Drosophila melanogaster: one gene and its partner. The protein of the gene in region 1 purifies or fractionates together with the protein of each later gene. This does not show direct contact. Each region holds a gene or a part of one and is shown in the gene's direction. Other genes may lie near its edges.

Region 1 (4,983 bases):
TTCCGAACTTAGCAAAGTGGTTGTTCAAATGAGCGATGGTGTTAAGTCCGCGCGGTACCTTCCTCAGCTCCAGCGAACTGTTATGCTGCTGCATGTTGGGATTGACACGCGGGCCAAGACGACTGTTGATCGGCACCTTTCGTTTCGTTGGCACATCGGCAATGGCCACTGTATCCTCCAGTTCGAAACGTCGCTTACCAACCTCAGCAACGCCTCCCGTGGGAGCGCCATCAACCACGGGAATAGGTATCAGCTGCCGCTGCAAGGGAGTGGTAACCGCAGTGGGATTGAAAGGGAATGGCATCATGGCCGCCTGCGGCGGAGCGCCTGGATTGCGCGCGTAGTCAGCGGGATTCGGAACGCCCATCGGACTGGGCCCAGAGCCGCTCATTAGCGTGGTTGGTCGCACATTACCGCTGAAGGGGTTAATGGTGGTCTGTCCTGGTTGCGTTGGTGGAGGCACTGGTCCCTGACCAGCTCCTGGTGGCGGACCTCCGCTCCTAGCCCATATTTCGGGCGCATCCGGATTGTACTCGCGCATTGACATCATGAGGGACGTGTTGTTGATGCCCTCGAACACTACCGGATTGACGCCATGGTCCCAGGGACATGTTTCACCCCTGACACAATAGCCCTTCTCGTCAAAGTCCCGGCAGCGCTGACGAGGATGGGAAGCCGGATGCTCAACGGGTGCTGGCGGCGCCACTGGAGCGGGAATTAGGTTAGCTTGGGCTGTTTGTACTCGGTCCGGGGAGTTCTGGTTGCGCCGCGCGTTTCGTTCCGGTGACATTGACCGACTGTGAGAGCGCCGGCTCTTATTGTTGCCAAATCGAGGACGATCATCTGCGTTGCCACCGATGCGCCGGCGATCAAAGTTGCGCCGACCATGATGGCGATTGTCGGTCTGCGAGCCTGGTGGAGATTTGTTACGGAATTGTCGTTGAGTTTTCTCGCGTTCGTTCACCCGTCGGTCGCGTGACCTGGACCGCCGAAAAGCGCGCTCGTTAGAACGCGATCGAGAGCGGGAACGGGATCGCAGGGAAGCACGTCGTCGTCGACTGTCGCGCGGCTGGTTTTCCTTGTCAGCATAACCCGCCGCAAGACCTGCTCCGCCGGGACCACCTCCTCCACTTCCGCTGACGCCGCTGCTTCTGCCCGGTGGGCTGGCACTGCGCACATGATGGTGTTGGTAGTTGGAGGCTGACTGTTGATTGTGGGAGTCTTTGGTTTTATGCTGCTGGATAAATTAGAAATATAAACAAAACAGCTAAGGCGAAGCTACCACTAAAACTCACATCAAAGGCTGGCTTGGCATCTGTAGGGACGTGCATGGCAATGCCGGCTTCCTGGCTGATAAAAGCTAGGGCCTCAGCTTCCCTGGCATCTTGACTGGCCTGCTCTAACTTGACCTGATTGCTATCGGGTTTTATCACATTATCTTTAGGAGGCGGTGGAGGGGAATCGGCAACCAAAACCGCTTCGATGTCGTCCTGGGGCCCATCAATGACCAGGGCCAGTTCCTGGTCGACTGTTAGCTCAGCGGTGGATGCACTAGAGGCTGTTATTAGAGGGGCAGCAGGGACCGTCAGGTATTCCTCGCTGGCAATGGCATCGAAGAGGCGTTCAACGAAACGTGTCGTCTCCTCGGACAGGAAAACATCGAGCTGTTCGATCATGATCCGCTTAAGGTCTTTATCCGATTTGTCCTTCTTGAGCAGCGCGATGACATATCGCGCCAAGGCCGAGGAGTCCGCATCGCAGCTGTAAGTGGGAGGGTGGTATGTGACGGGGTTAGTTCCAGGGATAGCGATGAAATAGCGGCTTTCAAGAACTTACAGTGGCTCCAGGACCACGCTCAGCCAATCCTTGAGCTTGTCCGAATTCTCCAGAATCATGCTAAGGCGGGTTGTTTCTACTGCTTGCTGCTGCTGCTGTTGTTTTTGTTTTTTGGTTGGGGGCTTCTTGCGTTGGTCTGCGCTAATCTGGGTGGGGGGTTAATCGTGCTCGGGGGGCAAACACGCCCGAAAAATTATTTTTAAGATGACCTCTGTCGCTCTGGCGACTGTGCTCCTGCGATTTGGGTGAACTTCTTACTTCCTGTTACCGCCGTTGCTTCTGCTTTTAATCTCTGAAATTGGATTTCGGCGTTTATTTTACTTTTTGTCGTACTTTTTCCTTCCTTCTTTTAATTGCTTCTTCTTCCCATCTGCTATCGTCAATAAGAAAGTTTCTCGATTTTGCTACCCGATACTTTTTGCTTGCGTACAAGCACGACGCACACACACAGCGCGCACAAACACACAGGCACGCAGAACTCACATACATACGTATTAGCAGCACCCAGTTTTTTGCGCCCAAATTTCTTGGGTTTTTCGAGCCCATTTTTCAACACAAACTCCAAAGACACATACCTCAATGCTTAAATTTAACTTATTATTAAGATTTGTACAACAAATTGTGGTTTGAACAGCTATTTTTATATTTTTCACTGCACTTTTCCTGTTGCAAGGTTGCTTTTGACGAGTCTAGGCTGCGTAGTCGATATATTGCCAGGTATATCGATAGCCTTCGATAACGGAATGCCCTCGAAACAGTGTTGACAGCTATAGACTATACCGTAGCTAAAGGTAATATATGAGTTTAAAATATAAGTTAAAGGTTTACGCTTTTTTAAATTATATTGGATATATTATATTCGATATTATATTATAAGAAAGCGCTAGCTTGCCGTCTAATTTTGACACTAAATATAGATAATCTATATAGATAGATTATAGATAGAAGACATTTGTCTAGAATTCCGCTATTTTGTATCCATTCATTTCACAACGTATTCATCCCTGGTCATTTCGTTTATCTGCGAAATTCTTTTTGTTGTGGATTAGACGTAAATTATTGCCATGTGCAGCATTGGTGAAGATGATTTTGGAGACGAGGGTGCCGCCCACGCCATGGTAGTGGAATCCCTACCATTAGGAATCGTCCTCAGTCCAGGGAATTGCAGCAAATGCGATGTAAACTCCGGCGAGCTCTACAAACTCAACTTCCGAACTGCGGAGTGCCGGGAATGCTTTCTAGCGTATGCGAGGCACAAGTTTCGGGCAGCTCTGGGAGCCGCCAAGATTCTGCCCAGAAACGCCGAGGTGCTTCTTGTCCTGGACGGGTCCGCAGAGTCGCTCGTTCTGCTCGACATGTTGCACTTCGCGCAAACACAGAACACGTTTAAAAGACTCCATTGCAACGCACGTGTGGTCTACGTGGAGGAGCAGCAAGTGCAAGGTCGCGATCCTGTGGACTTGGAAGCTCTGCAGAGATTATCAACACAATACGCACCCTTCGATTTCTATGTGATTGAACTGGGCGCCTTGCCCAGCTCCTTGCAGCGGATCAAGGATTATAGTCCTTTCCTCAACGCAAACAATGAGCTTATCCACAAGCTTCAAAAACTGCGAAGTCTGACAGCTCGCCAGGATTACCTCCAGCAACAGCGCAAGAACCTCATCTGCTCCGTGGCTCAGTGTCTGCAATGTACTCACGTCTTTGAATCTAATATAAGTGTTGACTTAGCCACCCAGCTGCTGACTGCAATAGCGCTAGGTCGTGGCGGTAGTGCCGCCTTGGATGTGGCTCTCCTCGACGATCGGCTGTCTGGAGATGTTAAGCTGCTGCGACCTCTCAAGGACCTAACTGAGCAGGAGATTCAATTTTACATACATGCACAGCGTCTAAAGCCACATTTTCAAAAAGGCTCACGTTATGGGATGGAGCATGGTGAGACTGCCAGCTTACAGAACCTTACATCAGCCTTTGTGGCCAATCTGCAGCAAAACTTCGCCTCCACAGTATCCACAGTGTTCCGAACTGGCGACAAAATAGCTGTCAATTCCAATCCAGAGCAGTCCTCTTGTGTTCACTGTCGATCTACACTGGACTCCGAACTATCCGACACTCTGCTGGCTATTGAGTACTCCAGATCTGTTTCAGAGGCCGGCGTGAGCCTGTACAAAAGCGGACAAGATCTCGAGGGCTTGGCCAAGAAGCGATTGGAGAACAAGGACGGTTTGTGCCACGCATGCCGCGCCATACAGACCGAGTTGGATAGTGGTAACTTGTTGTAGCGCAAGAGGAAATATATATATTTTCTATTAAAACTATATTCTTTTACTACAACTTGGCTAGCTTGTTATTGACAAGAGGCTGCAGTGGCAGATGCCCATCGCAGGGCGGTATATTGGAGGCCAGTACGACCTTGTGGAAGTCGTAGACGATATAGCGATTGTATTGCTTGGACTTTCGATGAAGGTCGTCCACCGATCCCGACAAGATAATTGTTTGTGTACAAGCGCCTGGTTCTTTGGGATAGAGCTCATCACCAGGAAGAACTCCAAACATGCAGTCATCGCAGCGATAGTAGACGGGCTGCACCATTGTGCTTCCATTGCAGCTCCTTTGGCGGGAGAAGTTGAGAAGCTCCTGAAAGCTATAGAAGTTCATCAGACGAGCGATGTCATAGAGCAGCATGAACGGGAGCCAAATAATGGCTTTCTGTGAGCTCGACCAAGCCTCGATCGGACTCAACCAGTGGGCCGAAGCCACCTCGTGCGGTTCCAGAAGCAGCTTTATATTCCTGGTGTACTTATCTAACATGGTGATATAATAAACAGTGTCATATTTCCGATTGGCAGTGGCTGCTGTCCTCCAAATGGACCATTCCTGAAGAGACCAGATATTGGGAATGACTTTATAATGCCGAAAGAGTTCCAGAAACTGTGAGGCATCATTGTGAACCCGATGTTGCCATTCGAAGTGTTCGCTTGACTCGAGAAGCACGGTTCTAGGATGACCCGATTTAGAATCCCATTTTTGTATGTCGTCCTGTTCTGTGCAAATCAAGATGCCCACCTCTTCAAAGGTTTCCCTGAGCGCAGTCAGTCGCAGTGCAATGTCCCTTGAAATATGGTCTCCACCGGATAGAAACTCAGG
Region 2 (4,720 bases), on another chromosome or scaffold:
TTCACATGCGAGAAATGCAGACCCAGCTTGTACTGCAATCGAATTGATTCATTGCTACCCAAATGGCTCAATGTGTTCAGCAGCAGGGTCTCGTTCAGTTCCTCCTCGCCCTGTTCTTGGTAGATAAAGCTCAAGGCATCCACAGCTTCCTCAGCGAGGGGATTAAGGCTTATGCACTTCTCGTAGCACTTGCGGGCTCGTGAGAAGTCCCCAGTGGCCAGCGGGTACAGCTTGCCCAGATAGTCAAAGCACTCGGCAAAGTGTGGGCGCAGTCGAGTGGCCTTTAACACATAATTTAGAGCGTCTGAATAGTTTTTCAGCGCCATATGCAGCTTGCCACAAAGTAGGTATGCCTCAAAAGTCTTACAGTCAGCAATTTCTTGAAGAGCTTCAGATGGAGATCTAGTATAGCAGATGGAAAAGGTGGATTGACTTCTTTAATTTTTGGATTTCCTACTTACAAAACAAATTCTGCTTTGGTCAGATCATCCAAGGGCAAATCTTTCAGCAAGTGCAGTTCGCCCAGCTTGAAGTAGCAGCTGCAAATTAAATAAACTCTTGTTATGCATTTTATTAAACCAAATACTATTGATAAAAAGCTCACCGAGCCAAAGACTTAATATTGCCCTCGGAGTTTTCAAGCGTTTGTAAAATCGTGACAGCTTCTCTTAGTTTTGAAACGCCTTTTTCGTGCGATAAGCATAGAGCATAAGCGTCGTTTTCCTGTCCAATTTCCTGCCACAGCTGAAGGGCCAACTTGTATGCGCCCAGCTCCATGTGGATACGAGCCAGCAATTCCAGCGTTACTTTGTACGCAGGTTGACTTTTCTGTGCCTGCAATGCCAACTGCCTGGATGCGACGACCTGCCCCTCAGCGAAAAGATCCAGGGCTTTAACCAACAAAGCAAGGTTAGAGTTAGGATTAAGCTCCAGAAGCTGCTCAGCGTACACCTGAATGGGATGCCTCAGCTCCTGTTGCCAACTAACTATTTCGGATTGCTCGTGGTGTTCGCAGTAGGTCTTGCATATCCACTCGAAGCCATAGACATCTTTGGGATGCGACTCGGTCATATTGCAGGCGTGCCGCACGCAAGTCTCATAATCCTGCTTCTTGTAAAGCCACTTCAGGTATCGCTTGTAAACCACGCTCCTTGCACTGGGTTCAGAGTTCTGCAGCAGAGCTTCCATAGTCGTTTTGTACTGAAAAAAGTGTAATTAGTCATTACGCACTAATTTATAATAAGAAATTGAGCTATGAAAGTGCTCATATCAATTATAATTCTTTATATTTCAAAATTATTTTTAATAAATAAATTAATAATTATACGGTAACTTACAAGCTGAGTATCTTCGGGCGCAATTTCAAAGTCGTTTGAAACCCAAATGCGTCCCAGATACTCCTGAATTTTCGTAAAATTTCCATTCTCTGTGTCCTGCACTCTCTTTTTAAGTACAGTGAAGCAGAAAGGAGCCACATTTGAGTCAGAGGCCAAGTTGAAAAGCTTTTCCCAATAGTTCAAGGATTGTTCTCTAAAAATGTAAAGTAAAGATCACTTTAGTAGTCCTTTTATGACAAAGTCTAGTATGGATAGTATGGAGTATGGATAATGACCAGGGAGTCACGAGCAGATTCTTACGGTTGCAGGTCAGCCAACTGATCATAGATTTCAGGCAGTTCGTTGCTGGGCGCGCAGTTGGCGAGTCCGAGGAGCGCGGCAGGGGCCGGACCATCCGTGCACTTGATGCACTGCCTCAGGTTTTTGGCCGCCTCCGCCTTGTCGATATTCTGGTAGGCTGCCCCAAGCAACAAGTAGCCCATAGCATTTTCAGGCTCCGATTTAAGTAGGCGCTGCAATAAAGGCATTAGGATGATGCATAACTGGTATGTTCTATGGTGACGTCACTTGGCACTTGGGTATGGCTTCCGCATGCTTGCCCAGCTTTATGGTCTCCCGAATGTCCTTGATCAAGGCTTTTGACTCTTTTACGGCGCTCATTGTAAATATTTATATTTATTTTTCATCTATTCCAAACAAACAGTGATGGGTAACTTGATTTTGTATAACGCCAGTGTTGGTCACTGCTGCATAAGGTGCAACAGCTGTTAATTAAATTGTGTGCTAATTAAGTGTCAGTAAAAATGCACATTATCTGCAAGTCGCAGTGCGGAAATCGCGCTGCTTTGAAGGTAGTTCATAAGTTAAACAGCCCCTAATAAATCCTAATAATGTTGTTTGCCCAAAGCGACCCAAAACCGGCGATGCCCTGTGCAAGGAGTGCTTCTTCGCAGCCTTCGAGGCAGAGATCCATCACACAATCTCCTCCAGCAACTTGTTCCGACGTGGCGAGAAGGTGGCCGTAGCGGCCAGTGGAGGCAAGGACTCCACGGTCCTAGCGCACGTGTATGTCGTACCATTCCCCCCATCGCACCTCTCTAATCCAAGTGTTCTACAGATTAAAACTGCTAAACGAACGCCATAACTACGGTCTGGAACTGGTGCTCCTTTCCATAGACGAAGGCATCACTGGATATCGGGATGACAGTTTGGAGACAGTGAAACAGAACCGTGACGACTACCAGATGCCACTAAAGATCCTGTCCTACGAGGAGCTCTACGGCTGGACCATGGACCGCATTGTTGCCCAGATCGGCCGTTCTAACAACTGCACATTTTGCGGCGTCTTCCGCCGACAGGCCTTGGATAGAGGGGCCAAGCTGTTGGGCGTTGATAGCATAGCCACAGGCCACAATGCAGATGACATTGCGGAGACTGTCTTGATGAACGTGCTCCGTGGGGACACGGCGCGCCTGCGACGCTGCACGAGCATCCGCACCGGCGGGGGCGAGGATACCATTCCCCGAGTGAAGCCCCTCAAGTACAGCTACGAGAAAGAAATCGTGATGTACGCCCACTACAAAAAGCTGGTCTACTTCTCAACGGAGTGCGTATTCGCCCCCAATGCGTATCGCGGCCACGCTCGAGCGTTTCTCAAGGATTTGGAGAAAGTGCGACCATCGGTTATAATGGACATCATCTACTCTGGCGAACAGCTTCGCTTCAAGGACACGGTAAAGAAGCCCGAGCGTGGCACATGCACCCGATGTGGCTTCGTTTCCTCACAGCAGCCGTGCAAGGCGTGCGTCCTTCTCGAGGGTCTAAATAGAGGATTGCCGAAGCTGGGCATAGGCAAGAAGTCGAAGGGCGAGCGAATGATTGCCAAGCAGAACCAGGAACTAGCATTGCGGGAGCGAGCAAACTTAGTAAAAAACGATTTTTAAGAACACATATGAATTTTATTTATTCGTGATTCCACAAGATACAAATTGTGTTCATCCAAGGTTGCCAACCTGAAAAGATAACAACAGGAACGATAAGTTTGGTTTCGCAGGCTAATTTCATTAATACTAGAATGCATTATGAAGCTCAGTGCCAAGTTTTTAACCAGGGCCCATAACCAGTCAAACAAGACGCTCTATCTCCAAAAGAATATTGAAGAAGATTGCCAGCGCTTGACCTTTATATGGTGTCTGTGAATGGTTTAAGTGATCATCATTGAAATCTTCATTTCCGCTAAACAGAATCTCTTTTCGTACTAACCTTTTTAGATATTGGAATTTATAAATGAACCATTGACGGATTCATTTTGCTACGCATGTTTCACATCTGTAAAAAAAAAAAAAAAATCAAAAACAATACAAATAAGTAGTTATTCAAATATAACTCAATCGTTTAAGCGATTTTAAAATGATCAGTTAATTATATTAGAAAAATTTGAATCACAACGGTTCATTAGAGATGTCAGAAATTTTAAAAGCATCATTTACATATTATTTCGTTCTAGAGTATAATTTACCTTTTCAAAGGAGAGATCCTTGTTTGGGCATATGACGCGACAATCAAAGGTGGTTTTCTTGAACACTGCAAAATGACAAAAATTAAATGGTTATAAAGAGCAGCAACCGATTTTCTAAAAAACTTATAAAACACAAAAATAATAAAATGAAGGGGTTTCAGTAAAAACTCGTATAGCTTCATAACATTTTTCAGTCGAAAGATGGTGTAAGTTTCATTCATCACAACACAATTAATTGTCCAATTTACACATAAAATTTAAACTAAATTTTTTTATTATCTTAAACCGAATTATTACCTTTTTCACTGTGTTAGTGAGCCACGTTTGATACATGATATTGACGTTGCAATGAACTGAAATTAAAATATATTTGTGTTATTCAAATGTAACAATCTTTTTAACAGGTTTTTTTAAAGCGTTTAAAATTCAGTGAAAACTAGTATAGCATCAAAATGATTTTCAGTCGAAAGATGATGATAGGGTCATTCATCACGAAATTTTAAGTAGTTTTCATAAATGAAGAGAATAATTACCATTTCACGCTGATAACCTCATTTATATTCCGAATCCAAATCGAAAGACCGATCTGCAAGTAATAGATGAGTTCTCATAAGTCACGGCCACAAGTAAAAATTATATTTAGTTGAGAGTCGAATGTGTCAGAATTAGTTATAACTGATTTGAATCACAACGGTTCATAAGAGATGTCAGAAAATAGAATTATAAATCATCAGATAACTGAGAAGGGCTAATTTGGGATTTGGAACGAATTCTTACCGTCTGTCTCTCTCCAACTCTGCCAGAAAACACGTGTTGAGCATAAGAGGCCATTTTGTTTCTGAAAATGGAATGCTGGGTTAGCCAT

The links.
Region 2: the proteins of Ctu2 (region 1) and Ctu1 purify together in Drosophila melanogaster (affinity purification with mass spectrometry, with the first as the bait; one large-scale study listed by BioGRID). This does not show direct contact.

Annotation. Positions count from the first base shown.
Region 1 is NT_033779.5:19,490,811-19,495,793, reverse strand, and holds Ctu2 (cytosolic thiouridylase subunit 2), read left to right. Parts: upstream 1-2,540; 5' UTR 2,541-2,627; intron 2,628-2,830; exon of another isoform or gene 2,831-2,885; 5' UTR 2,886-2,900; coding exon 2,901-4,118; 3' UTR 4,119-4,147; downstream 4,148-4,983. Other genes in the region: swm (second mitotic wave missing), read right to left, coding at 1-1,237, 1,296-1,761, 1,837-1,895; CG18094 (uncharacterized protein), read right to left, coding at 4,165-4,983. UniProt on the Drosophila melanogaster protein: Plays a central role in 2-thiolation of mcm(5)S(2)U at tRNA wobble positions of tRNA(Lys), tRNA(Glu) and tRNA(Gln). May act by forming a heterodimer with NCS6/CTU1 that ligates sulfur from thiocarboxylated URM1 onto the uridine of tRNAs at wobble position.
Region 2 is NT_033778.4:9,095,871-9,100,590, reverse strand, and holds Ctu1 (cytosolic thiouridylase subunit 1), read left to right. Parts: upstream 1-2,065; 5' UTR 2,066-2,140; coding exon 2,141-2,188; intron 2,189-2,244; coding exon 2,245-2,402; intron 2,403-2,454; coding exon 2,455-3,280; 3' UTR 3,281-3,660; downstream 3,661-4,720. Other genes in the region: CG8777 (uncharacterized protein), read right to left, coding at 1-402, 462-539, 605-1,200, 1,338-1,530, 1,638-1,849, 1,905-1,997. UniProt on the Drosophila melanogaster protein: Plays a central role in 2-thiolation of mcm(5)S(2)U at tRNA wobble positions of tRNA(Lys), tRNA(Glu) and tRNA(Gln). Directly binds tRNAs and probably acts by catalyzing adenylation of tRNAs, an intermediate required for 2-thiolation.